Linked DNA regions of Sus scrofa. The protein of the gene in region 5 interacts with the protein of the main gene of each other region in a pairwise test. Links are inferred from orthologs where the notes say so. Each region holds a gene or a part of one and is shown on either strand. Other genes may lie near its edges.

What was found.
Region 1: the proteins of GOLGA2 (region 5) and ARL4A interact in binary tests that used the Homo sapiens proteins (3 or more experiments, as listed by UniProt). The two-hybrid records come from large-scale screens. The link is inferred for Sus scrofa from reciprocal best matches to the Homo sapiens genes GOLGA2 and ARL4A.
Region 2: the proteins of GOLGA2 (region 5) and BCAS2 interact in binary tests that used the Homo sapiens proteins (3 or more experiments, as listed by UniProt). The two-hybrid records come from large-scale screens. The link is inferred for Sus scrofa from reciprocal best matches to the Homo sapiens genes GOLGA2 and BCAS2.
Region 3: the proteins of GOLGA2 (region 5) and MAGOHB interact in binary tests that used the Homo sapiens proteins (3 or more experiments, as listed by UniProt). The two-hybrid records come from large-scale screens. The link is inferred for Sus scrofa from reciprocal best matches to the Homo sapiens genes GOLGA2 and MAGOHB.
Region 4: the proteins of GOLGA2 (region 5) and CCDC87 interact in binary tests that used the Homo sapiens proteins (3 or more experiments, as listed by UniProt). The two-hybrid records come from large-scale screens. The link is inferred for Sus scrofa from reciprocal best matches to the Homo sapiens genes GOLGA2 and CCDC87.
Region 6: the proteins of GOLGA2 (region 5) and PIN1 interact in binary tests that used the Homo sapiens proteins (3 or more experiments, as listed by UniProt). The two-hybrid records come from large-scale screens. The link is inferred for Sus scrofa from reciprocal best matches to the Homo sapiens genes GOLGA2 and PIN1.
Region 7: the proteins of GOLGA2 (region 5) and SMARCE1 interact in binary tests that used the Homo sapiens proteins (3 or more experiments, as listed by UniProt). The two-hybrid records come from large-scale screens. The link is inferred for Sus scrofa from reciprocal best matches to the Homo sapiens genes GOLGA2 and SMARCE1.

Annotation. Positions count from the first base shown.
Region 1 is NC_010451.4:82,225,211-82,227,894, reverse strand, and holds ARL4A (ADP-ribosylation factor-like protein 4A), read right to left. Parts: upstream 1,199-2,684; coding exon 596-1,198; downstream 1-595. UniProt on the Homo sapiens protein: Small GTP-binding protein which cycles between an inactive GDP-bound and an active GTP-bound form, and the rate of cycling is regulated by guanine nucleotide exchange factors (GEF) and GTPase-activating proteins (GAP).
Region 2 is NC_010446.5:105,991,087-105,995,641, reverse strand, and holds the start of BCAS2 (pre-mRNA-splicing factor SPF27), read right to left. Parts: upstream 3,085-4,555; 5' UTR 2,992-3,084; coding exon 2,899-2,991; intron 2,790-2,898; coding exon 2,697-2,789; intron 1-2,696. UniProt on the Homo sapiens protein: Required for pre-mRNA splicing as component of the activated spliceosome. Component of the PRP19-CDC5L complex that forms an integral part of the spliceosome and is required for activating pre-mRNA splicing.
Region 3 is NC_010447.5:61,424,188-61,428,688, reverse strand, and holds the start of MAGOHB (protein mago nashi homolog 2), read right to left. Parts: upstream 2,991-4,501; 5' UTR 2,802-2,990; coding exon 2,708-2,801; intron 1,783-2,707; exon of another isoform or gene 1,726-1,782; intron 55-1,725; coding exon 1-54. UniProt on the Homo sapiens protein: Required for pre-mRNA splicing as component of the spliceosome. Plays a redundant role with MAGOH in the exon junction complex and in the nonsense-mediated decay (NMD) pathway.
Region 4 is NC_010444.4:5,831,988-5,836,505, reverse strand, and holds the start of CCDC87 (coiled-coil domain-containing protein 87), read right to left. Parts: upstream 3,076-4,518; 5' UTR 2,985-3,075; coding exon 411-2,984; 3' UTR 1-410. UniProt on the Homo sapiens protein: Plays a role in spermatogenesis, where it is important for normal sperm head morphology. Also required for the acrosome reaction and thus normal male fertility.
Region 5 is NC_010443.5:268,703,098-268,706,935, forward strand, and holds part of GOLGA2 (golgin subfamily A member 2), read right to left. Parts: coding exon 3,779-3,838; intron 3,515-3,778; coding exon 3,401-3,514; intron 2,669-3,400; coding exon 2,444-2,668; intron 2,365-2,443; coding exon 2,289-2,364; intron 2,071-2,288; coding exon 1,976-2,070; intron 1,682-1,975; coding exon 1,433-1,681; intron 1,344-1,432; coding exon 1,241-1,343; intron 1,149-1,240; coding exon 1,042-1,148; intron 951-1,041; coding exon 797-950; intron 708-796; coding exon 490-707; 3' UTR 1-489. UniProt on the Homo sapiens protein: Peripheral membrane component of the cis-Golgi stack that acts as a membrane skeleton that maintains the structure of the Golgi apparatus, and as a vesicle thether that facilitates vesicle fusion to the Golgi membrane.
Region 6 is NC_010444.4:68,714,461-68,718,855, forward strand, and holds the start of PIN1 (peptidyl-prolyl cis-trans isomerase NIMA-interacting 1), read left to right. Parts: upstream 1-1,437; 5' UTR 1,438-1,492; coding exon 1,493-1,550; intron 1,551-4,074; coding exon 4,075-4,287; intron 4,288-4,395. UniProt on the Homo sapiens protein: Peptidyl-prolyl cis/trans isomerase (PPIase) that binds to and isomerizes specific phosphorylated Ser/Thr-Pro (pSer/Thr-Pro) motifs.
Region 7 is NC_010454.4:21,782,867-21,787,400, forward strand, and holds the start of SMARCE1 (SWI/SNF-related matrix-associated actin-dependent regulator of chromatin subfamily E member 1), read left to right. Parts: upstream 1-1,543; 5' UTR 1,544-2,044; intron 2,045-4,030; 5' UTR 4,031-4,075; coding exon 4,076-4,082; intron 4,083-4,257; coding exon 4,258-4,301; intron 4,302-4,534. UniProt on the Homo sapiens protein: Involved in transcriptional activation and repression of select genes by chromatin remodeling (alteration of DNA-nucleosome topology).

The DNA.
Region 1 (2,684 bases), on a different chromosome or scaffold from region 5:
CTTACTTAAATACTGTCTAGAATCAAGATATAGTATTACAGTATTTGATTCCCCAAAATGTCAAAACTCATTTGGCCAAAACTTAAAAACCAAACACTTCCTCTTTTTCCCTTACTGGTTGGACCAATGTGATCAATATAACTGTGTGTGTATATATATATTAATCTACCATAACATTTTCATTCATTAGCATTTTATCTTAACATACCAAGCCTAGCATGCAATTTCCTTGCAAAGGCTTCCCCCCATAAGACATAAGCACAAAACACTAGGCAGACACTCTCCAAAGTTTTATTTCACTAACTTCAGGTCAAATTTCCACAACTGTTTTCTGGTCAATTTCCTATCCTTGCTTGGCTTCCCAAAATGGTAGTACCAAAAGACTTGTGGGGTAGGGAGAAGAGACCATTTGAAGAAGCACTGCATTTACTCATCTTCCACAAGGCAGTAGATTTGGACATCTGATTGTTCAACAAAACAAAGCTTTAACAGCATCCAGGAGGGCAGGCAGGCAAACCAGGCTGTAGACACTCTTCCATTTGTCAAAATCAGAAGGAGAAAACCTACTCCACACAAATAGAAAAGGTATCGTGGTTCATCTCTTCTTTTTCTGTTGCCGCAACATTTTTCTTCTTTTAATTATCATATCGTGTAGTTTCTCAAGTCCTTCCTTTAGTCCATCGCCTATGATTGCACAGGTGGGCTGCAAATGCCAGGGAGTTGAGGAGCTTAGTTCACCCATTGCTAATAATTTTTCAATTTCTGAGAGAGACAATGAGTTCCTCAGGTCTTGCTTGTTAGCTACTATAAGCACAGGGACTCCTTGATTTTCTGATATCCTAGTTATTTTATGAAGTTCAGTTTTGGCTTCTTCCATCCTTTCAACATCAACAGAGTCCACAACAAACACAATGCCATCTGTGCATCTGGTGTATGATTTCCACAGTGGCCTTAATTTCTCCTGACCACCTACATCCCAGAAGTGAAAAGTGACTGTTTTAGAATTTCCCAAAGTTACCTTAATTTTTTCAGTGTTAAATCCTTTGGTAGGTACAGTATTTACAAACTCATTGAATTGAAGCCTGTACAATACAGTTGTCTTTCCAGCACAGTCCAAACCCAGAATGACGATGTGGAAGGACTGAAAGGAAGGCAGGCTGGACAGGATAGAAGTCTGGTCTGACAGTCCATTCCCCATTTCCAGCTGCAAAGAAGTGTTCCAAATTCAAATGCTTTCTTCTTACTGCTTTGGTTCTCTTCCTAGGGGATACAGCTACCAAGCTGCTGAGGGGGGAAATGAATAAGTTACTCTTGTGAAATAATTTACTACAACTGTTTTCCTCTCTTCTTGCTAAATAAGCAACACGAGGAACTTGATAAATGAAACTTGTTGCCATAAACATACCAAATGAGATAAGAAATGTACGCAATCCGACGCAGACGACAGAAAAATCGATGCCACTGAAATTCTTTAACATTCACTGAAATTGCAGTAATACGTAGTTTTCTCTACTCCCCCCGGGGTCCTTAGACCTCAAAGATCTCATTCCGGAGACAACCTAGTCACCAGCATGCGGGACAAGTCGCAGTAGCCATAGAAGTGGTTTTTTTGGAAGAAAATTTGCATCACGTAATCGATTGATCTTTAGTATCTAATTCCATATGCCTAACAACATACCCACGGTCACAGTTAACCCAAGCCGCTCCCAACCCCCTACGTAAAACACAATGTTCTCACCTCCCAAATTGGAGTCGGGGTCCAAACGAGAAAGCATTGGTAGGCTTTGCTACGCTGGGGCAGAGAAGGACCCCACGTCCGCCCAGCTTAGCGCTCTCCGCAGCTCTGGCGGTTGTCGCACTAGAAACCCTGGATTCAGGCTCCAACCACGCCCACGCCTCACGGCCCACCCCTGAGCCCAAGCCCCATTGGTCACTTGCGTCAGCGCGTCCCTACCACGCCCGCCCCCGCTCCCTAATTGGTACGAGTCACTGCCGCTCCTAGAGCGGTGGAGCCAGGCTCTCTCTCGGTCCACAAGCACCACCTGTTGCCCTCAAGTTAGAAAACAGTACGCCTACGGAGGGAGCCGAGCGGCCCCTGCAGGGGAGGGGGAGCCTCGGCCGGTCGGGTCCCCGCCATCCCTCTCGCTCCGCCCGTCCCGGCGCACCTGCGGCGCTGCCCTTGGACGCAGGTCCACGATTCTCACATCCGGGGCCCGCGGTCACCGCCGGCGCGTTAACCCTTTGTCCGCTGGCCGGAGGCCGCCCCCTGCGGACCCGCCGGCCCCTGGGCATGAAGGATCGGGCTTGCGACACTCGCCAGAGCAGGTCCGCTCCTCCCCAGCACTACCCGTTCACCTCGCCCCTCAGCAGCCGGCAGGCTCGGCTCCCTCGGCAGGGCGTGGCCACACAGCTGCCTGCCCTGCAGCGGCTCACCTGACTAACCGTCCTTCCCTCGTCCGACAGCCACGTAGGATCGCGTAGATGCCAGCAGGAGGGCCCCAGCGAGGGCTGGGCGGTGGCCGGGGACAAGACGCCGCTTCCCGGGGCGCTGGCCGGGCGCCGGGCTGCCTTAACGGTGCTCGGCCTACCGCACCCGGCGTCGGCCGGGGCCCCGCCCCCTTCTATCTCTCTCTGGGGCGCCGGCCAGTCGGAGGCGTGCAGGAGTTGGGTCTCCTAGCAACGCC
Region 2 (4,555 bases), on a different chromosome or scaffold from region 5:
CTGTAAAGTGAAGGCTGTGCTGAGAACCACGGCTCTAAGGATTCACTGGGGGCAGGGGAGAAAGAAGATGGCCTGGACATACATAATTTGCTTTAGAGCTATGAGCCTAAATTTACACTTCCTTTTTGATCCTTGCTGCTCTTTTTACACTTTACTCTTTGGAAAGAATGGAGAGAGAGTTCCCATTGTGGCTCAGCAGTAATGAACCTGAGTAGTATCCATGAGGATGCTGGTAGATCCCTGGCCTTGCTCAGTGGGTTAAGGATCCAGTGTTGCCGTAAGCTGTGGTGTAGGTCGCAGATGTAGCTTGGATCTCGCATTGCTGTGGCTGTGGTGTAGGCCGGCAGCTGTAGCTCTGATTCGACCCCTAGCCTGGGAACTTCCATATGCTGTGGGTGCAGGACCTAAAAAGAAAAAAAAGAATGGAGACTAGAAGAAGGGACAAAAGGAACTGGTTCTGCTGTTTGCTCCAACAATTTTACTATTAAAAAAAAAATGTGGTATAGCTCTACCTCTTCAGGCCAATGTTTTGGTCAACATTCTATTCCGTTTAGACTAAAGAGTAAGCTAAAAAGGACTTCCAGAAGCCCACATTCCTTGTTTAAAAGTTCTGCATTAAGTATGTCTTGTTGGAGAAAGCCTTTTTTTTTTTTTTTTTTTTTTTTTTTTTGGAATACTGCTGAGCTGCACACACCTCTAAGAAAATGTGGTTATTTTGTTTCCTGCAGACACTAAGGCATTCTAGCTAGAAGGCTATGCACAGTGACAGATAAAGAGTAAACACTACTAATGAGGTGAGAGAAACTACAAAAATACAGCACACACAACCTTGAGCCACGTAACATAGAAGCCCTTACCTAACTCACATGGCCAATAAGTGAGAGATCTGGAATTTTAACTCAACTCTCTCCAAAGACTGAGCCAACACTCACAGGGCTGTCATATAAGAAGTCCAGGCATGAATGGCACATGGTAAGCATTCGTTAAATCAGAATGCCTTAGGAGCTCTTCATACATTCAACTGACAAATATTTGGGTGCCTATTGTGTGCCAGACACTGTCCTAAGGGATGAAAATACAGTGAAGAAGACAAAAAGGATCCCTGCTCATGGAGTATCATCTCAGATTACATAGGCCTTCCTCAACCATCCTATCTAAAGTAGTCACCCAGTCACTCTGTATCACATCATTACTTTAATTCTCCATGTAGCTTTACCAATAATCTAATAATTTCTGATCCGTCTCTACACTCTAGAATGTAAACTCCTGTTCCCCAATAACTTAAAAAGAATGTCAGAAATAGTTGTTAAATGAATTAATGAAAGAGCAGCTTCAAAGGCAGTTTGAAGATCATGGGGAAGTTAGTAAGCTGCACTTTTCCTATCCAAAAAACTGGTATAAAAAACATACAGTTTACAATTCACAGGACTGCTTTTAGGACTGAGATAGTGAGCTCAGTACACTATTAGCTCCTACTATTAAGAATCACTATACTAATTATAAAGATAGAAGTATAGGTTCTACTCAAGAGACCAAAAAAGAAAACCTGTTCAAGTGTTTAAAAGTTTGTGATTGAATGAAGTTATCTGAAATTTTCAGAAATCAGGCTAATAAGGACTTATTATTACTGTACCTAGTTTTTTTTTTGTTTTGTTTTTTTGTCATTTTAGGGCCACAGCCTTGGCATGCTGAAGTTCCCAGGCTAGGGGTTGAATCAGAGCTGTAGCTGCCAGCCTATGCCACAGCAACGCAGACCCAGTGGCCTCTGTGACCTACATCACAGCTTACGGCAACACTGGATCCTTAACCCACAGAGCATGGCCAGGGATCGAACCCAAGCCCTCATGGATACTAGTCAGGTTCGTTAACCACGTGAGCCAGGACAAGAACTCCTGTGCATAGTTCTTAATACTGTAACATCTACATTTGGGTGACATTTAGAAAAAGCATGGGAAAACAGGATGCCATAGGAACATCTCTCTCCTACTTAAAACTTAACCGATATATTTTTTTCATGTTACTTCAATAGAAATACTGCTTTTTATAAGAGATTTCTTTTGTAAATAAATGGTTACCAGATATGGGGAAAAACGGAACATGTATATACTAAAATGCCTAACAGAATCCATTAATTTAGAAATATTTTACATTTCATTTAGCTGATTAGACCCTAAATAGTATTACAGATGCACTTCTAAATATTTAAAGGGTGCATTACTTAGATACGGTTTGTCTCTTCAGTCATTCTCACAGATTCAGAAAATACTTAAACTTTGGTTCAAAGACCGCCCTCCAGTGGTTCTCAGAAGCTTAGGTAACTAGGCTTTTGTGTATTTAAAAAACCCTAGATCACTTGTTTTGCAGTAGACCTTAAAGAGAAAAGGATCCCTTTGAGAATTTACGCAGTGAACCTACCTCGGAAAAACGTTAACATTCGTTTTTGCATTGTTAGATCAGTTCGCGAAGCCCTAGAAAGTCCTTCTGTGGCTCTAAGAATAAGAACCCGGGAGACAGTTTATCCATGCAGCTATTTTCAATTGACTGACACTACCTATACCAATGAGTAAGCTGTGGCTAGGCAAGTAACAGTTAAAGCTGGAATCTGAAATTCACTTTTGTGTGGCTAAGGCTCTCAATCCAAAACAAAGATTCACAGGATCCTGGTTTATAACGTGGACTCAAAATATCACACTCACTTCAAAAGCGGAATAATCTGGGGCTGTCAGGTAGCTCAAGTAGTTCTTGGTAGGTCGGTACCTGCGAGTTTCCTCCTCTACCAACGCCGCGGCCTAAGAAAGAGAACAGAGGCCAAAATAAGAGGAGCACATCGTTAGGTCAGTCTTCCAGCCCGAAGTGTCCGCGAGCGCTGAGTCAGTCACACAGACACCCGGAACTTACCGCTTCCCGCACACCAGGCGCTTCATAACCCTGGTCAAAATACGGCAGCGCGTCTACAACAACCTCTCCAGCCACCAAACCGGTGCCCGCCATTCTTGGGCTCGCCTGACTTCTCTGAGTCTGCGCGGGCTCAGGCTCGCTTAAATAGGCCTGCACCCGATATTAACATAATCACGTTGCCGACGTCCGACACCTACGTAATCACGTCGAACATGTAATCACGTCTATCGTCAGCGCCGACACTGTCCTAAGCACGTCGCTTGCGTAATAGCTTTTGGCGCATGCTCAGTTAATTCCGAGGGCGTGCTAACTAGAAATTGTCCAGCCTTCTTGTTTTGGTCGGACGTGACGTCATGTTGTGTGGCTCCGGAGTCTGCAGGAACGTCTCAATTTCCTGTCCCCACCTGCTGCGCTTTTTTGCCTCCGATTGGCAGCCAAGTGGAAGAGTTGGGACTTTTGGTTTCCTCCGGCTCGCTGATATCTGGGAGGGGAAACCCTTTAATAAAACTTTTGAGGGAGGGGAAACCCTTTAATAAAACTTTTGAGGGAACTCGCTGCAAGATTTAGCGAAGAGAAGGATCCTGGTTTCCCACCTCGGCTTTATTCCCCTAACCTTCCAGTCTTCGGTTAAACTACTCTCCCTTTTCACTTCCTTGCTCTATCTGCACTATTGTTCTCCGTCCCTTGAGAATCTTTGCACCGAATAAGTGGAATAAGTGCAGCTCTCGCAGACTCTAGAAGTGGGCGTTAGACTCCAGTGAAAACTGCGAAGCTTTGGAGTCTGGAGTGTGCCTAACAAAAGGAACCTGATCTTCCCCCGGGGCGAGATTGGTAACTGCCCACTAACCTCATCTTTTAAAAAACTGATTTTTGCCTTCAGGACGTGTATAAAATCCAATCATTTTGCTTTTAGGGCTTCTGGTAACAGGACAATCTTTCTCATTGCATCCTAACACTCGTGATACTGCCAGTACCTATTTCCAGCTCCCTTTGATTAAGCAGGGGAAGACTAAATAAGGTAGGTAGGACTCTATACCGTGTCCGGTGTGCAAATATCGACCCAGACTTTGCCAAGAGCCTGGAAATGTCGGCCACGGTTATTAAGCTTGAACCTAGGATTATCTTTTAACCTACCATTAATTAAGTGTGCTAGCTATATAGATTTAACTGAAGTAAAAAATCTACAACTTAAGCCATTTAAGATTCTCCCAAGAGATCCACGGAATTTTTTGTTTATTAAAAGATCTGTAAACAACATTTTATACAAATCTTGAGCAATTACTTTACAAACATGTCCAGAATTTGTAATACTTTACAAAAGCAAAATAAAAGACTTAAGAAAAGGAAGCAGCTTCAGATTGCAGGGATAAAATAAGACCCCCATCCCTGTAGCAAAGCAAAAGTCTCCTCACAGAGGGATGGCCAGGATCCACCAGTTACACCTTCTATCCCCATTTTATAAACACTCAATTCCCAATTACTAACTGTTCCCTCAGGATTGGAGTTCCCTCAGAAGTGACCAAATGGGGAGATGTCTGGTAAGATCCCCACTGGGGTAAGCTGCTTAACATGTTTTTTTTTTTTTTTAAAAGACATAGGCTCAGTTTTATTTTCTGGACCCACATATATAGAAGTTGTATTATACAGCACCCGTCTT
Region 3 (4,501 bases), on a different chromosome or scaffold from region 5:
TTCTGATCATGACATCATTTTTATAATTGCTGTTGTTGGCGTATCTAAGTTTTCCTGTGGGGAGTGGAAAAAAATTCAATCTAAATAGCAAAAACTGCTAAAAAATAAAATAATGACACTATAAGCAATTTTGAAGGTAGAAACCATTTTATACTATTACTTGTATTAATATTTCCTACCTCCTAGCATAAGATTAATGCTGGATATATGTTGGCTAAGTTGAAGCCAGGCAACTTTTTAAATTCATGCCTTCAATTATAATTATACAATGGGAGGGTCATTTTCAAGGCCCATTTTCTTAATCTATATCACGATCTCAACAGGGAATCTGAAAATGGAACTAATATTTCTTCTAAGTTTATATGTCTTATTTTTGCTAAGTTATTTACCCAGAGCATTTAACCTAATCTGAAAAAAAATAAATAAAAAGTAGGTTTTATTCTTTATTCACAGTTGAGAAAACAGGGAGTTAAATAACTTGCCCAGGGTCACACAAGATTCAAATCTAGATATACCTTCTTAATACTCATGCTTTCCCCACTGTTCTTTTAATTATTTTCCTTCAAATGAATGTGTGTATGTATTATGGCAATGCTAATATTTTAGAACTATGGTAAAGAAGAATACCAACTATGTGCAGCTTCTGGATAAAACTGGCCGTTTTGTTAGCTGATATATACAAATTTAGGTGTACTCCTTGAGGCATGCCTCTCCTCAGTCAGTTGCCCAGGTACAGGTGTACTGTTAACTTTTTTTTTTTTTTGTCTATTTAGGACCGAATCTGCAGCATACAGAATTCCCACGCTAGGGTCGAATCAGAGCTGTAGCCTCTGGCCTACACCACAGCCTCAGCAATGCCAGATCCTTAACCCATTGAGTGAGGCCAGGATTGATCCTGCACCCACATGGATACCAGTCAGATTTGATTCTGCTGAGCCAGGAGGGGAACTCCAAGATGTACTGCGATCTTTATCCTCTAGAATGATAGGTTACCCTGATGAGGTCCCTTAGGAATCATTGTTTATAGGACTCATTATTACTGACAGAAGTATGTGGAATGGTGGGGTGGCAGATGAGAGCTATTGTCCTGGAATGAAATTTCCCTGATAATATTAGACTACCTAATTTATGTGACTGGCTAAAAGTGATACAGACACACTGATAGTTGTTCACAGGCAAAAGTCCTGAAAACAATATCACATAAAGAACAGATGAAGGCATTTCCTTCGTGGTGCAGCAGAAACAAATCAGACTAGGAGCCATGAGGTTGTGGGTTCAATCCCTGGCCTTGCTCAGTGGGTTAAGGATCCCGTGTTGCCATGAGCTGTGGCGTAGGTTGCAGACGCGGCCAGGATCTGGTGTTGCTGTGGCTCTGGCATAGGGCAGCGGCTACGGCTCTGATTAGACCCCTACCTGGGAACCTCCATACGCCAGGTTCGGCCCTAAAAAGACAAAAAAACAAAAACAAAACAAAACAAAACAAAAAAAACCCAAAAATACAGATGAAGAATTCAGGTAAATCTGGCCCCTTAGCTAAATTTAGAAAAGACTTGGGTAGAATGAGGGAGACTAAGGTAATTAAGGTTTCTAAATAATTAGATGTAGCTACCCTGACTTCTACCTAAAATATCTGATATTCTCTCATTTTTCTAATATGTGATCCTCCCCTAATTTTTCTTTTGCGCTTTCACAGAACTTTGTCCAAAGCATGAGCACAGCACTTACCATCAGAACTGCCTTATGATTAGTTTCACGTTTGTGTCACTCAGCAAGATTTAATTCCTTGAGGGGAATTAAAGAACCCGACGCATTAATATAACCTCAATTTTTGTTTTTACATGTTGCCCAGCACATAACATGCACTCTAAAAAGAAAAGCCTATGCCGCTTTTAACAAGACTGTTCTTGTTACAGTAAGAGTTCTATATACAGTACAACTATCTAAAGAGAATCAGAGCTGTCAAAAGATGTAAATTGCTGCCATTACTTGGGCAGCAGGCACTTTCACCGGCTCCTGCAGCTCTCAGGAGTCCGACTCCTTTATTTTCCCTCAGCGTCCAAGACAATATCTACTCTCATTTTGAGACTCATCTCAACTGTCACCTTCTCTAAAGATGACCCGACTCTTTCATCCAGAACTAACCACTCCCCCGTTTTTGGAGTTTCAACGCATGCTACATGGAACAACTATATTTAAGCACCCAGAATACATCGTTACACTCATTTCTTTTACATGTCCCGCTTCCAGTTCTGAACAGCAGATTTTTTTTTTTTCTATTCATGCTGCCTTACATACAGCGCATGAATGAATAAAACGGACGCATGGGTAGTTCGAAAGTTACTGTTCACCGCAAGATTTAAGCATCCACAGGCCCACCGCGTGGCGGGGATGTTCTCATAAAACGTTCGAGTATTAGGTCGATTAATTGGATGGCCTTTAAGGTCCCTTCTGGTGAGCAGATTCTAGGATTCTGATTACTGTAGGTTCCATTTTAGTATCTGGCAGTATAGACTTTTCTGAAATAACTTACACCGATTAGTTACCTTTTACTCACAAAACCAATATACTCTCCGATATTCTTAAGCTCCTCAGCCCCAACGCACTCTCGCCAAGCCCGCGGAGGCTCGCCCTCCCCACACCGCCTCCTCCGCGGCCTCTCCGCCTCGCTTCCCCCAGCTCAGCACCGCTCAGGAGCGGCTCAACTCACCGTCCGGCCGAAACTCGAACTCCAGAAACTCGTGTCCAAACTTGCCCTTGTGTCCTACGTAGTAGCGCAGGTAGAAATCGCTGGCCATAGACATCTTGGTCCCCGAAAAGCCCGCCGAAGGCCCGGCCAACGTGCTACAGGGCGCCTGGCAGTGACGTCAGACGCTCAGGATAAACACGTCACTGCGAGCGCGGCCATTCCGCCTCCCGCATCCCCAGAGGAAAACCGGAGGGCGGAGTCTCGCGAGAGAGACTAGGCGACGCCGTGGGAGGGCAGCAGCGATGTGGACTTTGGTTTATTAGAATGAAAAGTACGTTATGTTCAAAATTAGATAGGTCATATTATATTAGGAAAGAACAGCAGTGTGAGCATATGCAAGCATTTGTTATGGGTTTCGAGCTAAGGTTTGCAAATCGCTCTGGCTTTTCTGGTCGGGTCTCTAATTCTAGGAGCATCCCTTGAAGTGGGTGTGGCCTTATTCCCCTTTTTTAGTGGGATGAATAAAGATTAAACCTGAAAACTGGAATAGCAAACATCTTACATGTTTATCATCTACAAGGTACTAAAGTTTACTTTCTCTGCTTTTTATTTCATTTAATATCCACAGCAGGCCTGTGAGGTATCAACATTTTCCTATTACAGACCAAAAACCAAATGCAAACAGGCTTTGAGAGTTTGGATAATTGGGTCATTGCCCAGCAACAACAACAAAATTTTGAGAGCCAAGATTCAAGTCTACGTCTGCCTAACACTAAAGCCCATATTTTTTCTCTGTTAGTTTGCTACAAAGTACTTTCACTATCAAAGATTAATGTAAAGACATTAGAGAAAATCGTAGTCAAGTCCTGTAAAAACATACTGTCAAAGTAATAACAGGAAAGAAAAATGTGAATATTCGAAATTATCACTACAAAACACATGTTAAATAAGTGGGAATTAAAATGCACATACATATAAAATATATATGTTCAAAGCAAAACATGATTTTACTGAAATTAAAAAAAAAAGATACAAAACATGATTTTACTGAAATTAAAAAAAAAAGATACAACCTTAGAACGGCAAGATTTGAAGTACAGCCCGCTCTCCTGCTAGATTTTTTTTTTTTTTTTTTTTTTTAGTCTTTTTGCTATTTCTTGGGCCACTCCCACGGCATATGGAGGTTCCCAGGCTAGGGGTCCAATCGGAGCTGTAGCCACCAGCCTACGCCAGAGCCACAGCAACGCGGGATCCGAGCCGCGTCTGCAACCTACACCACAGCTCAGGGCAACTCGGGATCGTTAACCCACTGAGCAAGGGCAGGGCCGAACCCGCAACCTCATGGTTCCTAGTCAGATTCGTTAACCACTGTGCAACGACGGGAACTCCTCCTGCTGGATTCTTAACACAGGCCTTTCCTCTTCAGACGAGAATTGCTAGTTATCTAGCATCTAGAGGTTAATAATAATAAAAGCAAAGTAAAAAGAATCCATCAAACAGGAGGCCTGATGAAAGGTACATTGAAACTGAAAATCTCTGACAATCATGGTATAAAAGAGTTTCTTAAATAGTAAAACATTTCGTTGAATAAGTGTTTATCCTCGGTGGCCTCTGGAGTTTTGGCAATTTTAATGGTTTAGCCCATGTTTCTTATGGGAGAGTTAAAATTCAATTAGTGAAGGAATGCTTATCTGGGTGAGTTTCAACGAATGAGGAAAGACAAAGTGAGCTTTACACAAACCCTATTTTTCAAATATTATCACCTTTCTTTTACCATCACACAGAATGGTCCTGCCTGTTGAATGACTTTTAGCC
Region 4 (4,518 bases), on a different chromosome or scaffold from region 5:
AGCACTGCTCTTAGCTCTTATGCCATAAAGCCTCTGGGTCTGGGGCCCGAATTCGCCAATCAAGTGCAGTGTGCTAGACTGAGGTGGGGTGTTCCAAAGGGGATGGTTTGCATCTGTCTGACATTTCCCATTGCAAGGAACTCCAAGGGACGTCTCAGTTCGTCTGCAAATATGAGATTTGGGCTGTACTGTGCAGAGCTTGGAAGAAATGAGAATACTGGGCTTGGGGCTTCTTTTCTGAGAACTTCATGGTCAAAGAAAGTGTTAGTTTCAGTCCCTTGGTGGTTGGAGGTACCGTTTTTCAGAACCCTGCACTCCCAGACAGCGTTTCTTTCAAAGCCGTCAAGAGGCCCCGGATGAGCTGCTGGGTGGATGGCGGTGAGGGCGGGTTCTGAGGGCACCTGGCCTGGTCAAAGGGCATTGGGAGTGTTCCCAGGGACTGGTAGAGACTGGCTGCTGAGCTTCCTGGACAGGGTGGGTGGGTGGGGGGCCCTCCTGGCCCGGACCAGGTGGCGGAGCCGCCGCCACTGCTGCAGCCAGTAGAGCATCTCCACTTTGTCCTGCTTCATCTTGTCCAGGTAGCGGCGCCCCTTGAAGGTCACTGGCTCACCAAAGACTGACTCGATCTCCTCCAGGAGCGGAACCAAAGGAGCCTCCACTAGACGGAGCTTCCTGTGGAGATGGCTGCGGATCTGACTCTCCTCCAGGAAGCGACTCAGGCCCGTGGCAGTCTTTTGGAAGAAGCGGTTAGGGTCGGAGGCTTGTCGCTCAAACCACTCCAGTCTCCCGAGCAAGATCTCCCGCAGCTGAATGGGCTGCAAGGCCCGCTCCCAGGCACTCACCAGGGACGGCAGCTGCCTGAGACGGGCGTTGGAGCTGTACTTGACGGCCATGTCCAGCCGGTCCTTGTCGCGGACCTCAAGCATGGACCACAGCCGCTCCAGACGCTTCTGCAGGCTCAGGATCTTGTGAGAGTCTTCCAGCAGGTTGTTCTTCTTAGGTCCTAGCCTGTGCGCCAGCACCGTGTTCCAATCCCACTCTCCTGGCACAAAGTCTGGTTCGTCCTCTTCCAGCAAGGGAGGCGGGAGCTGGATCTTTAGGGTCTCTTGCACAGGGGTCACGGGCTCCGCAGGAACCTCCTCTTCATACATGTGGAAGATGACATGGAGGAAATCTGTCTCCTGGTTGGCGAGATACCTGAAGTAGTCGTCCACAGACAAAGCGGTTTTCCACCAGTTCATCCACAAGGCCCCGTGGGACCGCTTCTCCCAGCTCTTTCCTGCTTGCAGTGACAGGAGGGAGGCCATCTTATCCGGGGGGTGCTGTAAGGTGTTGGCTCCCTGGGGATAAAGCCCAGCCAGCTCGGTGTTGATGCTGCGACGCTGTTTTTCTTGATTTAGAAAGGCTGAGGACAGGAAGGCCGACCAGTCTTGAATGGCTGCAGGCTCCACCAGGGGCCCCTGGTCGAAAGAGAAGTGGTCTTTGGAGACACGGCTCATCAGCTCCTTGTAAATCTCCCTGATGCTACTGCCGACAGAGAGGTCCACATCCATTTCCTCGACAAGTCTGGGTTCCAGCTCGCCAGTCAAGTGGTTGTACAAGACTCCGGCCCCGTCAACGTGGAAGGAATCCACAAAGTTTCGCCCCGAGACCTGTACAGCGGCTGCCTGGACCACCTGATTTCTTAGCTTCAAAGTAACAGTCACCGGTTGTGCTTCAAGTGGAGGGGGCGTGGGGGGGCGCTGCCCAGCCGCTTCATTCTCCTCCAGACCCTTCAACATTCTCTGCAGCTCTTCCATGTGGTGTCCTGGGCGAGGGCGGTAGGTCAGGGCCCCCAGGAGCGGGGGCAGGCCTGAGTCCACCAGTGAGCAGCGGGTCCGATGCAATTCCATGTTCCTCATTATCTGCTTCAGGTCCTCAGCCACTGTGTCCCCTGCCAGCTCAGGTTTGCTCTCTGCAACCAGGACCAGCGGGGTTAAGGGTCGAGGAGAGGGCGGAGGAAGACCCAACTCATCTGCTAGCTTCCAGCCCTCACGTAGGGAGGGCAAGGACTGGCCCCTCTGGAGCTGGAAGGAGAGGGGCAAGTGGGAGGGGGCGGGAGTCCGGCTGGGGGGAGCCGCAGAGCACGCAGGCAGGGACGCAGGCTGTGGAGAACCCAAGTTGCTTTCTCTCTTCTTCTGCACGGAGGACAGCCAGCGGAGAGGCTTCCTCTTCTTCAGCTGGGGAATGGACTTCAGTTCCTTTACCGGATCCAGTTCAGGCTCACTGACAGACTCTCGCGGGCGGCTGAGCTGGATGAGATCGTTCAGGCTGAGGTTGAAATTCGGCACTTGGGCAAAGCTAGGGCTCTCATACCACGGGATAGGGCAGAGCCTGAAAGCCTCAGGGGAGCCGCCCGGGCGCAGCCTGGACCTGCGGGCTTGGGCCTGCTCTTCCTTCAACAGGGCGCGGAAGTCAGCGAGCAGCCCACGGTAGACGTCGGGGCTGGTGAGGAAGATTGTGCATTCCCTGGCGAGGCTGGCGGCCAACCGGGTGAGCGTGGCTGATTCAGTGAAGACACTTGCAGGTGTCGACAGCATCTTCTGAAGGTGCAGGGAGCGTACGAAGAGCAGCTCGCTGCTGAGCAGCACGTAGACCAGGAGCCGCTTCCGCAGCCTCTGATTGTCCAAGTGGCTCAGACCAGGTTCCGCGGGGGGCTCCTGCCAGCTGCATTTTAGCTCGTCCAGGATGACCTGGGTGAAACAGAGTCGTACCTTCGCAGGCGCGCGCGCCTCCAGCCCGCTGCTGGCCAGCCGCTCCGTTACCTGGCGGCAGAGGGACGCCACGGTCAGTCGGGAGAAGGGCAGGGGCAGCAGCATGGGGACCTCCTTCGGGAGGCGCTTCTCAGACTCTGTGTGCGTCGCCCTGCGGGGGAAGAGCGACAGCGGACGCAGCAACTTGTGGTAAAACCTCTGGAGCTCTGGCTCCGGCTTATTGGGCTCCATCTCAGGGCTGGCATCCCGGGCCCGGCAGGCGGAGCTGGCGGTTGCTGAGGCAACGATGGCCCGGATGCCCAAGTGCGCCTGCGCGGCCCATGCCCGCCGCAGCCTGGTGGTGGGTGGGGAGGCGCGGTGCCTTGTTTGCGTGCGCACCAGGAGGCGGGGCGAGGAGCGTCTTCCCGGGCTCCGCCTCCCCGCGGCGCTGTTCTGGGTTGGTGCCTGCCGACCCGGACAGAACGGGTCCTTCGGCAGGTGCCTGGGTCCAGGATGGCATCGGACTCGAGGGACCGCGAGACTGCCTGCATGGTGAGGGTCGAGGCCTCGTGTGGGGACCTCGCAGAGCACAGAGCCTCGGCGTCTGGGGTGATCGTTAACTTGAGAATGGGGGAAGGAGCGGACGCCTGGGTTGGGGCCTGGGGCCCCAGCTCGAAACTGGAATGTGAGACCAACAGAGCCCTTGGCGTTAATGTTGGGGGGTGGGTGTTGGTCCTGAAATGATCGTGAGTGATAATGAAGGAGCTTGAGGAGGAATCACGTGGGGCGCCGTTACTCCAGGCCTTTGGGGGTGGTCATAGGGGAGATAGTGAAACAAAATCACGCAAGAAGGAATTTCCCAGCTCTTATCGACCCGTTCCTGCTACCTTTGCAGTTAGAGTTCGCGGTGCAGATGACCTGTCAGAGCTGTGTGGACGCGGTGAGCAGGAGCCTGCAAGGGGTGGCTGGTAAGAGCCAGATCCGAAAAACTTTTCTTCCAGTCTGGAGGCCTCTGGGAGGGACAGGAAGCTCTCTTAGACCAACCCTACTCCCATTTACAGATACAGAAATTGAAGCCTGGGGAGAGAGTGTTTTCAGAGAACCAGAGGCGGAGGCTGGAGTGCAGGGCTCAGGCTTGCCCAGCCAGATTCTTCTACTGCCTCTAATTGGCTGCCCCACTGGTGTCTTAAACCTCAGGTACCTGGAGAGTGAGGAGGTAGACAGAGCATAGCCCCCTGCAGGGGATGTTCCCTGGAAAACAGGCAGTTCTTGTTTGAGAAACAGCGTGATTTTTTTTTTTTTTTTCCTTTTGTGGGCTGCACCTGCGGCATATGGAGGTCCCCATGCAAGGGTAGGGGTCGAATTGGAGCTGTAGCCTACACCACAACCACAGCCATAGCAACACCAGATCTGCAACCTATACCACAGCCCATGACAACACTGGATCCTCAACCCACTGATCGAGGCCATGGATCGAACCTTTGTCCCTAAGGATGCCAGTCAGATTCGTTTCTGCTGAGTCACGACAGGAACTCCAACAGCGAGTTCTTGACAGAGTAAACAGCTGCCCTGGCCATGTTCCATTCCAGGTGGCTCTGATTCTTAAAAGCCAGCTAACTGGTCTGGTGTCTACTTGGCACAGTTGGAAAGATCTGTGAAGGCAGAGCCACCAGCATGGCCCTGGAAACTGCCTGCCTTTGATTCTCTTAAAGATTTATCCAGTCCTGGAGCTCCCATCGTGGCTCAGTGGTTAACGAATCCAACTAGGAACCATGAGGTTGTGGGT
Region 5 (3,838 bases):
ATGTCCTTGCCTGGCCTCGGTTTGCCCCAACTTCCCAAGGCCTATTAGAGTGCTGCCCAGTTGTCTAGCTGGACAGGGGGGGACACTTGTGCCCCAAAGTGCCTCTGAATAGAGGATGCATAAGCCCCTCTTAATGAAGGACTGCTTGATGGGGGTGAAGAGGCTACCAGGGAGCCCCTGCTCCCCGAGAAGGGCAGCCTCCTAAATCAACTGTCTTTACCGAGCCTCTGGCTCTTTGTTTTTCTGGAACTATTAATCGTCCAGAGATCAAGACACAGCCCTGGCCAAGACGGCCAGGGGTCTGCACCTATGTGTCTCCCCCCATTAGAGGGGGGGGCTTGTTCCCCTTTCCAGGGGCATTAGCTTGCTAGTCTAGGATGACGACGTGACTGGGAAGGAGGGCAGGGAGGAGGGACAGGGTGGCGGGGACGGGTGGGGGCAGAGCCCCCGGCCCCAGTTCTCCGGTCTTTGCCTGCCAGCCTCAGGCACTTAGACCACCATGATCTTCACCTCGTCGTTGTCGTCAGCCCGGTAGAAAAAGGGGATGCAGGGGTTGCTGCCCAAGCCCAGGCGCTCCTGGGGGTTCTGGATCTCGCGCAGCAGCTGCATGATCTGCTGCGCGGTGGGGTTCTCGGTGAGGGTCTGGCCCAGCAGGGCCTCCCCTTGGGTGGGCTCCACATTGTCCGAGAGGCTCACCTCCAGGAGACCTTGGGAGAGGGAGGGGCAGGCTGGGGAGTGGTGTGCCAGCTCTCCCTGGCCCGCCCGGCCACCCGCCCTCCCCGAGGCTGCTACTCACCACCCTGGTTCTCAGCAGCGCCAAGCTCCTGGGGGGCTGGGGGCGCCACGGTGGGCTCCCCAGCAGGGTTCTGGGCAGCCAGGAATTTGCCTTGCCATTCATTGCGCTCGCCCACCAGGTGTAACACCAGCTCCTGGAGCTCCAGCAGCTTCACCTGGAGGGACAGGCGCTCAGCAACCCCACCCCGGCCCTGGCCCTGGCCCTGGCCCTGCCCGCCCCTCTGCAGAGATGGTCGGGACCCCTACCTTCATTTCCTCTTTGTCCTGAGCCAGCCGGCTAATGTACTCCTCCTTCTCGCGGTGCCGCTCCTTCAGCACCGCCCTCTGGCTCTGATAGAGAGCAATGTACTCTCCTGCAGGGAGCGGGCGGGCGGCAGGGCTCGGATGGTCCAGCACGGCTCCCCCGACCCCCACCGCCACCCCGGGCCCCGGGCTCCCGGCTCACCGATAGTGTCTGTCTCTCCGGACAGCTGGATGCAGCGATGTTCCAGTTCCTCTACCCGCTCCTTCAGATCCACTTTCTCTTGCATGAGTTCAGTAAAGCGGCCCTGTGGCCAGAATGGTAGGGTTGGGGCTCAGCAGCGACCTGCCCGCAGGCTCCTCCCCTCCCGGCCCCCGGTGGGGGCGACTTGCTCACCTGCAGCTTGTCCATGGCCACCTGGAGGGCCTGGTGGGTCTCCACAGGCACACTGTCCCCCCCGGTCCCGGGGGCTGACACACTGTCCCCCTCGGTCCCGGGGGCTGGGGCCTCCTTCTCCACCCCATCTTGGGCTGGAGCTACCAGGTGAGCCAGGCGCTGGCAGCGAAGCTTCTGCTCCTTCAGCTCCCTTCGGAGTCGTGCCTGCTCTTCCTCGGCACTGGCTAAGGCCGAGTTAAAAAATTCCACCTGCAGGCAAAAGGTGTGCATGTGTTTTTTTGGGGGGGCCATGCTCATGGCACATAGAAGTTCCTGGGCCAGGGATGTAAGCCTCGCCAGACAGTGACAAGGTCGGATACTTAACCACTAGGCCACCAGGGAACTCCGTGCGTTGGGAGGGGCACTCAGGACCAGCAGGGAGACTATGACAGTGGCTCCCAAGGGAGTTCGGGGTCCAGAGGAGTCAGAGGGAGGGAAACGAAGAAGAGCAGGTACAAGACGAAAGCGGGGGTGAGATGGGCAAGGAAGGGGAGCTCAGCTCACCACGGCCTCTCGGCTATCCAGCTCCTCTGGCACACTCAGCTTTGGCCGGGGAGCTTCCCCGGCCTTGTCCTCGTCCTCAATGTCCAGCTCAGTTCCTGGAGGGGGGCAGCCAGAGGGTCCTCAGACAATCCGGCCAGAGAGATGGAGCAGGCCGGGAGGAAAGCTCGGGGCCCAGCTCTGCCTCCCACCTCTCAGTGCAGCCCTGGGCCAGCCGTCGCCAGAGGGAAAGGATCCGTTGTTGTAAAGGCCTCCTCTAACTCAGTTCTCGGCTGCTTCCACGCCCCCCACCCCCTCCCCGGGCCATGCCACTTGCCTTCCCCAGGCACAGCCATGAGGGTCAGCTGGGCCTGTAGCTGCTGGTTATGCTGGTTGGCAGCTTCCAGGCGCCCCTACGAGGCCAGGAAAGAGAGTGAGCAACATGGAGTGCAGGCCTCCCTGCCTCGCGGCCCAGCACTCCAAGTCCCTGACCTGGGCCTCCTGTAACTCTTGCCGGGCTGTCTCCACCGCCATCCTGCCCTGCATGTCCTCGTGCTGCAGCTGGTCCACGAGCTGGGTCTGCAGTACCATCTGCTTGTGCAGCAGCTCCTTCTCGGCGGCCAGCTGCTGGTAGGCGGCCACATACTGCTGTAGGTGGCCCAGGTACTGGTCTCGCTGCTGCTGCAGATCCTGCGCCTCTTGGCTCTTGACCTCCACCTGTGGGAAGACCCTGGGAGTGAGGGCAGGTGGTGGCTTGCTTCCGGATTCTGGGCCCGTAGCCTGCGGAAGTCGGGGCTCTGCTGGCTGCCCAGGTCCCTGGCTTCCTTGCTCCAGGGCCTAAGTGACTGCCACCTTCACCCAGCCTCACCCTCATCACAAGCTTCTTTCCATCTGAACTTCAGGCCACAGGCTGGTGGAACAGCAGAGAGCAGCAGCCAACATCGGCGAAGTACACACTGCATGCCCAACACTTTACATGCGGGATTCTCGTTTACCCCTCAACACCTCTATGAGGAAAACACTAACCTTCTTTTAGCTATGCCTGAGGCACACAGAAGTTCCTGGGCCAGGGATCGAACCCAAGCCACAGCAGTAACCCACACCACAGAAGTGCCAATGACAGGTCCTTAACTGCTAGGCCGCCAGGGAACTCCCTGACCTCCTTTTAAGTTAAGGAAACTGAGGCTCAGAGATGTGAGGGCTGACCCCAAGCAGCTAGCAACCGTACACCTTCTCCTCGCCTCTAATTCGGGGCTCAATGCCTCTAGTGGGGATGATGACCTAAGGCCCAGGGCTACTCAACTCCGCAAGCCAGAGGCCAGGGGGGGCAAGAGGCAGTCACAGGCTCTGAAGGACTCTGGGGTCACCTGGCCTGGCTCTGGCCCCGGCCCCACCCTCCCCGGAGGCTGCTGCCCATCTCGGAGCCCTTCCGGCTGGGGTAGGGGTTACCGTCTCCTTCAGCTCTCCCAGGTTCTCCTGCAGCTGGCCCAGCTTCTTGGCCAGCTCCTTCTTGACATGCTGCTCCGAATGCAGCGCGCTGGTAATCTCCATGTTCTCGTTGGACTGCACAGAGAGGAGCAATCAACTAAGCTGGAGCCCGGCTCAGGGACCAGCGGCAGCAGGCGGGTAAGCCCTGCCCCTCCCCAGCCCCCTCTGCGCAGGGCCCTCTGGCTCACAGGTGGCCTTCGTGGGCCCCATTTCACTCAAGGGCCATACCACCCATTTCACAGGTGGGGAAACAAAGACCCAGAAGGATGAAAGGTCTCGCCCCCGCCCCAAAGGACCTGGCCAGGGAGGGGGACCGGCGGGCTGGGGAGGGCTGCTCACCAGCCTGACGAATCCGTTCTGCAGCTCAGCCAGCTGCTCCTTGAGTTTGCGGTTCTGCGT
Region 6 (4,395 bases), on a different chromosome or scaffold from region 5:
AAACTGCAGTTTTTACACAACTAAGTATGCATACTCTAATAACATTCATACCGTTCAGCAGCTTGCTTTTTAAGGCCTTTTTAAAGCTTTGATATCTTTCTGTAAGTGATGTCATTCTTTCAAATTAACCTTTATTTGCTGAATTTTTTTTTTTTTGGTTTTGTTATGCTTTCATACATTCTATAATTGCTACACTGTACAATGACTTTTTTTTCCACTGAGCAGCATATATCCTTGCTAAGACCAGATACTGCTTTTGAGTGCTTTATATAGATTATTAACTCATTTAATCTTTATATCAAAGGTATTTACGATATGTATTATCTCTTAAACTCATTTCACAGATGGAGAAGCTGAAGTGCAGAGGTTAAGTAATTTGTTCAAGGTAATAGCAAATGGTAGAGCTAGGCTTTGAACCCAAAGCAATCTGACTCCTGAATGCTCTTAACCTACAGCATCCTACCTCTGTAATTTGTCATAGACGTGTTCCTCTGCGTTTCATGTCACTGAGCCTCATTCTTTTCAGCGGTTACGTAAGTGCCTGTGCTATAGATGAACTGTAAGTGAACTCTTCCCTGTTGGTGTTTTGACTCCCATGTTTGTCTCCAGCCCTAGGTCTCCAACCACCTCCTTGGTGTGTCCCACATGTGCCAGACTTAAGTTTAAACTGACTCAAAACTGAGTTCCTCATCTTCCCACCTGCACCTTCCCCCTTGTCCCCATCTGAATGGCAATGCCAACACCTACCAGTCACCCAGGATGGAGACAGGAGCCAGACTGTGAGGGAATAAGTGAAGTAAAGTAGATTCTAAAGGAAGTGGAAGGTGTCTAGGTAAGTAGCATAGGGAAAGAGACTTACACAAAACTAAAAGGAGGTGGGCTAGCTTTGGGCATGTGGAAGGAACAGGTGGGAAGAGGGAGGGTGGAGAAGCCAAATTTAGGCTTCTGGGTTCTTAGCTGTTCATCACCAAGGTAACTGGGTTGCTATGGTAACAGCAAAGGCAGCGTGCCTTTTCCAAGAACCTCCTCTGCGGCGGTTACCCTCACACCAGCCAGGCACTTCCACGTGGGGGCGCCGGCTGGGGGTAGGCTTAAGAAGGCGGGAATTGCTGCGGCATTGGCCAATCGAATGGGCTCTGCAGCGAAGGACGCAAAGGCGGGGTCGAAACTTCTTTGAAGTTCGCCAAAGGGCGTTATTAGGCGGGCTCAGGTCCTTTTCCCACCACTTAGGGGCCGAGGAAAGGGGGAGGGCGGGGCTTGGGTGAGGCCCTCAAGAAGGCCCAGCCCTGGTGAAATATGTGAAGCTCCGCCTATTCCTTCTTCTGCTCAATAGGAAGCCAGAGAGTCAATCCGGACAGTTAGGGTTCCCAATGAGTGTCGTCGCCATGCCCCGGGGCGTGACGGGGCCAGCCAATCGGCGGCGGTGGTGGGCGGGCACGGGCGGCAGAGGCGGTGCGGCGGAGGTGGAGCGGGCTCTGCCGCAGGAGGGAAGATGGCGGACGAAGAGAAACTGCCACCCGGCTGGGAGAAGCGCATGAGCCGCAGCTCAGGTGCAGCGGGGGTCGGGGCTGGGGCGGGGCCGTGTGGGCCCATGGAAGCAGGGCTCTAGCTTGTCCCTCGGACGCGGGCGGCCGCTCGATTCCCGTGGGGTCTTGGCTCCTTCGCGTTGTCCCTGGGTAACGGCCCCGGCCCTCCCCGGGGCTGCGAGCCTGAGGAGCTGGGAACCCGAGGAAATTGAGGCAAGGGACTGGGTCGGAGAGGCCCGGCGCGCTGCCTGGGTGGTAGGGGGACAGTGTACCCGCGGCGCTCCCCCAGGCAATGGCCTTGGTCCTGCCGATCTTGCTGACATCTTTCAGCCTAATGCACCTGACATCCGGCGGGGGTGGGGGGGGATGTCTTTGCACCCTGCTGGGCCCAAGGGGCACCCCTGGGGAAGGACACCCCAACACCATGCTCAGGGCGTGGCCCCAGGGTGTTGCTTGGCTTCGAATCCTAAACCTCCTGCTAACGTGCCTGCCATCCACACCGAATTCTGAGTTTGCTATAATGTGAGAATTCAGGTTATCTGCCTGAGAATAGTCTCTGTGCTCGGAGCCGATTAGGGCTTTTCCCCCATAATAATGTTAATAATAGGTCTTATCTCAGTGCCAAGTATTGTGCTAAGGGTGTTAAGTGTGTACTCTGGCCACAACTCTGAGAGGTAGGGTAGTTAATAACACCCAGTTTGCCGGTGAGGAAACCGAGGCCAGAAAACTTAAGAAACTCGCCCATAGTCGTTCATTTCAGGGGCTGGGGGCTGGGTTAGATACCAGTCTAACTCCAGAGCCCCCTGCCCTTGTTACTGTAAACCTCTGAGATGCAGGCCCACCATTTCACTCCCCTGCCTCCATAGCTCATAATCATCATGGTCACAGTAATAATTCCAATTTATTGAACGCCAGGAGCTCTGTCGAGCACTTTGCACTCATCATGATGGACTCTCCACATTAACCCCATGAAGTGTTATATCTTTATTCTCTCACCTTGCCCTCACTTTTCAGATGAGTACACTCAGGTTCAGGGAGATGGAACCCATTGCCAAGGTTTTAGAGGCATTGTTTGGCTCAGCTCTGGCCCACCCTGCTTGCAGCCCTGTGGCTGGGACCTGCAGCAAAAAAGCTGATGCTCTTCTCAGTTCTGGGCCTCCACTCCTGCCATTTCTGCTCAGCTCAACCCTGACAGTCTTCCTCCTGGGTGACATCCAGCCCTTCACGGTCTTGGGCAGAAGTCCTCCATATAACCCAGACAAACTCGGCCCCTGGAATGACAGCCTATCTCTACTGGGTCCTACTTTAAGTTTCTTTCTTTTTTTTCCTTAGATAAGAAGTAGATTTATTGATACAGTGTGGGCCGTCTCAGAAGGTGAGAGCAGCCTGGAAGATGCACATTCTTTAGACAGAATATTATCTCAAAAGGCCAGAGAGTGGCCTCAGGTTTCTTGTTTGCAGCCCTCACTCCATGCTCCTTAGTCTCTGGGTAACATCTGGCCCCCAGTAATGCTGGCCCCTAGTTCTGCTGCACAGTGCACTCCAGAGGGGAAAAGAGCAGAGTTTTGGCATCTGGCACACCTGAGTACAGATCCTGCTATCTCCCCCACCACACCCCACCCCCGGCTTTTATGCCTGGAGCAGAGTAAATACCCAGGGAAGGTTGCTTAGTTTTGTGGTCTATAACATGGAGATATTAGTAGCTGCCACAGTCTTTTTTTTTTTTTTTTTTTTTTGTCTTTTTAGGGCCATACCCATGGCATATGGAAGTTCCCTGGCTTGGGGTCAAATTGGAGCTACAGCTGCTAGCCTATGCCACAGCCACAGCAATGCTATATCTGACCCACATTTGTGACCTACACCACAGCTCACGGCACCGCTGGATCCTTAACCCACTGAGCGAGGCCAGGGATCAAGTTCTCATGGATGCTAGTCTGCTTCATTAGCGCTGAGCTATGACGGGAACTCCTCCTACACTCTTAATTAAGTGTGCCAGGTGCTGTCCTAAGTACTTTGCAGATGTGAATTCATACAGTCACTCCTTCAGGCAGGTACTGTCCTTATTTTCATTTTATAGGCGAGAAAACCACGGCCCCGGGAAGGTAGATCACATGTGAGGGTGTGGTGGAGCCACAGATTTGGACCGGCCTTGCTGAATGCATGCTTGGAACCATTCTCTGTCCCTGAGGCTTCCTCTCTTCCTAACCTTCAGTTATTTTCCCCCTTGAACTTTTTTTTTTTTTTTTTTTTTTTTTGGTGGTGAAAGAAAGTGTAGCATTTATTGTAAGGCAGTACAAGTAGTCTGAGACTAGCTAGTGCTCAAAAATCCTGCACTCCCCCCTTGACCTTATTAATGACTGAAGTTGTAAGGTGGTCTCATTTGCTTCTTTGGTGTCTGTGTCCCCAGCTAGAATGCTAGCTCCCTAAGGCCTGGTGGCACTGGGGACTTGCTGAATGAAAGGTAGTTCGTCAGCCAGCCCCTGATCATGGCTTCCCAGTGGTGTCCTGTGAGCAGGTCCCAGCTGAATTCCACTTCCACCTCTTCCAGGCCGGGTGTACTACTTCAATCACATCACTAATGCCAGCCAGTGGGAGCGGCCAAGTGGCAACAGCAGTGGCGGCAGCAAAAATGGACAAGGAGAGCCCACCAGGGTCCGCTGTTCGCATCTGCTGGTCAAGCACAGCCAGTCCCGGCGGCCCTCATCCTGGCGGCAGGAGAAGATCACCCGGACTAAGGAGGAGGCTCTGGAGCTGATCAACGGTAAGCAGGGATGGAGACAGGGCTGGGGGGGTCCCTCTCCCCCCGGGGGCCAGAGCAGGCCTTGTAGGAATCATGCCAGGCTCACCAGCTCAGCTGTCAGGTGGGGCC
Region 7 (4,534 bases), on a different chromosome or scaffold from region 5:
GAAAAAGACAACAAAATAAACACATAATGGCTATGTTGGGTGGTGATAACCACTGTAGAAAAAAACAAAGCACAGACCATGAATAGAGTGGAGATTGGCCAATGAGTTGCAATTTTAAATAGGTCAGGAAAAATCTGAGAAAGTGACATCTGATTACAGACCAGGTGAGAAAGATATCGATGTCACTGCTCCTCTGAGATCCCCTTCTTCCCTTCTCCACCATCTTTGTGCCACCCATTTCCCACTAGCATGCTTTGTTCCTAGCACCCAGGAATGAATACATATGTATGTGTGTGGGGGGAGGGTGTATTTTTTTTTCTTTTTTCTTTTTTTCCTTTTGCTGTGCCTGTGGTGTGCAAAGCTTTCTGGGTGACAATGCCAGGTCCTTAACCACTAGGCCACCAGGGAACTCCAATGCCTTTATATTTTAAAAAAGCAACTTCGTGTACATTACCACAAGCACCACTCAGGCTGCCCGTCATCCTTTGATGATTTCTTTTTCAGTCTTTCCCTTCAATATGCTTTTCAATTTCACTCATCTCTAATCATGAGTATAAAAATATTGGAGGTGGAAGAACTAGACAGAGAGTCACTCGTTCTCTGGCTTGGCAGACTTCTAGAGTTGCCCTAGTCTCTGATGGCACACTCAGGATGGCGGATGGCGGCTAAGGGTAGCAGAGGAATTCACGCAGTCACTCTAAACGTCAACAGTGTTTTCGGGTAATTTCAGATCCTTCTCCCTCCACTGTGGCCTGCAACATCGGCCAAGTGTTTATATATCCAAGGAAAGGCTACTATCCATTCAGTAAACCAACTTATTTATGATTTAGTAGAAAGAGCCCTGGTCTAGGCCAGAATCTGCCTCCATAACGTGTTTACTGATCATCTGACAATGAGTCAAGCTCCTCCTGGGTACTGGCGATGCCAAGATGATCAAGACTGAACCTTTGCTTTGGAGGCTCTCCTGTTAAACGGAAGATGACAAAGACGGTCTGATACAATGTATCAGGTAAAGTCTATAATAATGCTACCAAAGAACCTTGGGAGTTAGAGGAAGGATTAAGGGTGGAGAAGAGAGCTTCCGAAGGGCATCACAAACAGAATTTGAGCTGGATCCAGAAGGTCACTTGCATTTAAGCTAAAAAGTGAAAACCATCGTTCCCAGGGGAGGGAACCGAATGAGCCAAGGCGCCTTGGGACAGGGACCCTTGCCAAGAGCTGCAAGGGTACACAACCTGGGGCAAGAGGATTAACATTTCCGGGCCTTGGATCAGAAACCTGTGCCAGTCACACCAGGCTCGCGCTTGGGAGACCTAGAAAAGTGCCACGGTGCTTTCGCCAAGCTCCTGCCCGGCCTTTAAGGCAGGCAGCCCTGGGAGGCGCGCGGGACAACGCAAACTCGGCGAACCGGGCGCTCCACGCCTCCATCCCCGACTTGTTGACGTATACACTCCGGCTCCCACAGAAACAGGAACGAAGACCGGAAGAAAGAAAGAAAAAAAAGAAAAGAAAAAAAAAAGCCCGCGGAGGCGGGAGCGTGCGCAGCCCCAGCCTCGCCCGGGTGGCGCGCGGCCCGCGCGGCCACAGTGGTTCCGGGGCTCGCGGCCGGGCGCGCTTCCCGCCGCCTTCCGGCCCCGCGCGGGGAAGCCGAGGCCGCGCTCCCACCTCCCCTCGGCGCAGCCTCGCACCTCCCGCCGCGTCACCGGTTGCCGCTCCAGCTCCTCACCGCCCGGGGTCCGGGCCTGCCCCGCGGTCGGGCCACCTCCGCCCTCTCCGCCGTGACGAATCGGCGCCGGCTGGCAAATGCCCAAATTCGGGGAGTTTTGAGGAACACATGGAGCCTGAAAAAAATCCTTGACTGTACTAAGCACCACCGCGCCCCCTCGAGAAGGTTTATTTTTCTAAAGAGAGTCTGGTGGGGCTTGGAAAGGAATTCAGAAGAGTGTTGAAAGTGCGAGTGCGGAAGCTCCGGACGCGAGGGGCGGGGCGTGCGCGGGACAAAGGGAAGCGAGGCCGGAGCTGCGGGCGCTTTTTCTGCCCGCGGGTGAGTGTTCCCGACTGGGCCGGACTGGGTTGGGAGGGTGCCGAGGCGTGGTGTCCTGGCTTGGCCGGACCCGGAGTTCCCCGGGGTTGCTGGGGTTCAGGCTCGGCCGCGGGGCCGGAGCCAGGGGCCAGTTGCGGCCTCTCCGAGGCCTAGCGGAGCGAGGGTGGGGAAGCAGTCCCATCTGGGGCTCCTTCTTAGCGGCCAGATGCGCCCCTTCCACTAACCCCGCGAAATTGATCAAAGCACCCCTGCCCACTCCTCTTTAGTAGAGTTGCTGCTCAAGTGCATCCTTCACAACAAACCTAAAGGATACGACCTCAGAGGAAGCCCTTGGGGCAAGCCAAGCCCGTGCTCCTCACCCCCAGGAAGGTTGTTTCCCCTTGCTTCAGGCAGCGAGCTGAGGACTCACGATGTGGTTCGGAAACAGACTGGCCTGGGTTTGAAACCCAACTCTGGCGCTTTTTGGCGGTGTGTTTTTGGACAGGTTACTTAAACTCGCTGAGACTCCCTTTTTTTCCTCTGTAAAATGGGAATACACACATCTCGTTGGTAGTTGTGACTGTGAAACCAGATGGTGTAAGTAATAAGCCTGTCCCGGTGTAAGGTATTCAAATATTTATCTAGGGTTTTATGCCAGGCGCCGGATCCAGGGATGGATCCGGTGGTGGACAAATGTACAAGTTCACTCATGGAGTTTAGAGTCTAGCAAAGGAGATCAGTAATTTTAAAGTATTAACAATCAAGTGTGATGTACCAGGGAGTCTGTGGCAGTTATTGTCAGGGCTCCCCACAGCAAGGCCTACTGGACGTTGACAGCCTACCTGAAAGTGAGCAGGGAGGAAATCTGCACCTGACTCAGTAGTTTCCTGCCTGTTCCTTAAGGAGAGAGGGAGATTCCCAGGTCGGGCCATTGAGAAACACCTTTTTTTTTTTTTTTTTTTTTTTCCACACCATGCCTCTTATTCATAATGCTTCAGGAATTCCCTTCAAATGCAAAATAGAAGCAAAAAACTAAAATCATGTTTGTTTCACATAATGTTGGATGAAAGTACTCCAATAGCCATACAAGTTGTTTGCCTTTAAAAAAAAAAAAATGACATGTCTTTGTAGGCACCGTGTGTGATATGTTTTGAGGTAAGGAAGATGCTCGTGTGTGCACGGTCACGCAGTGGGCTGGTAATACCAAGACAAAATTCCTCAAGGATTGAGGCGGGTCCTGGGACTACAATAATGAATTCGATGGTCCCTGTTTCCAGTCTAGCCGTGTGAACAGGTTTAATAGGATACCATAGAGCTGTGTAAATTGGGTAGGAGTGCAGATGAGGAAGCAATTCATTCTGCACGAGTGATTTGTCAGGAAAGCTCCATTGAGGAAGCTACATTTTGAAACGGGCTGAAAGGTTTAATAAAGAGTTTTTTCAGGGAGACTCTCAAAATGTATTCCCAGCAGTTATAAAGCTATTTATCACCGTAAGAGAATGTAAAGTTCATGACCACACCAATTGCCTTTTGCACTGCCTCCCGGAATAAAATATGGCTCCATTTTAATAGAAGTTGTTGTCCCAAAAGGAAGGCAGAGCTGCGGCTGATCTGGTAGGCCTTGTTGAGGTAGGCCCCGATAATACATCACATTCTATTGTCACTATATTTTTATCAATCTGGTTAAGTATTGCCATGGCATCGGCAAATTGTTTTCAATACAAGAGGTGGCTCGGTATCCCAAAAAAAAAAAAACAAAACCTTTTGAGTACATGCCTAATATTACTTTTTAATATCCCCAGTAATTTGTTTTAGTCATTTAATTCTGATCAACCAAATGACCTAAAGGCTAGTAAAAATTTTAAAAAGCTTGATTACTAGAAGATAATGTAATTTTACTAAGAAATACCAATTAAACTACCCTTTTCTTTAGGGAAAAATTCTCTCTTCTGCTTACCGAGTTTTGATTATCTTTTTTTTTCTTTTTTTTTCTTTTTTTTATTTTAGTGTCTCAGATTCATTCTTAAGGAACTGAGAACTTAATCTTCCAAAATGTCAAGTAAGTTTCATTTTTTATATTTATCAATCTATATTAATAAGAGACTAATGCCCTAGCAAATGGGAATTCCAAAATACTCTCATTTTTTTTCTTCAAAACAGGACCATTGGTAGTTTTGTTGCATAGTATTATATCTCAGTTGTTTACAAGAAGTTATTTATTTTCTTTCAAACAGAAAGACCATCTTATGCCCCACCTCCCACCCCAGCTCCTGCAACAGTAAGTTTTAATTTTCTTGTTAATGTAATAGCCAAGTCTGGCCTTGATACAAAAACCCAGATGTCTTCCAGTGACAGTCACTCAGTCATCACAGCAACAGGATGAAAAATTCAGCTAAAAAAAAAAAAACAGCGCTTCCTATTAAATAGAATAACTCTGCATCTTACCTCGAACCAGCCCCAATGTTTAAAGAAACATACTGCTGAAATGCCAACCTCCTATGCTCAGTTCTT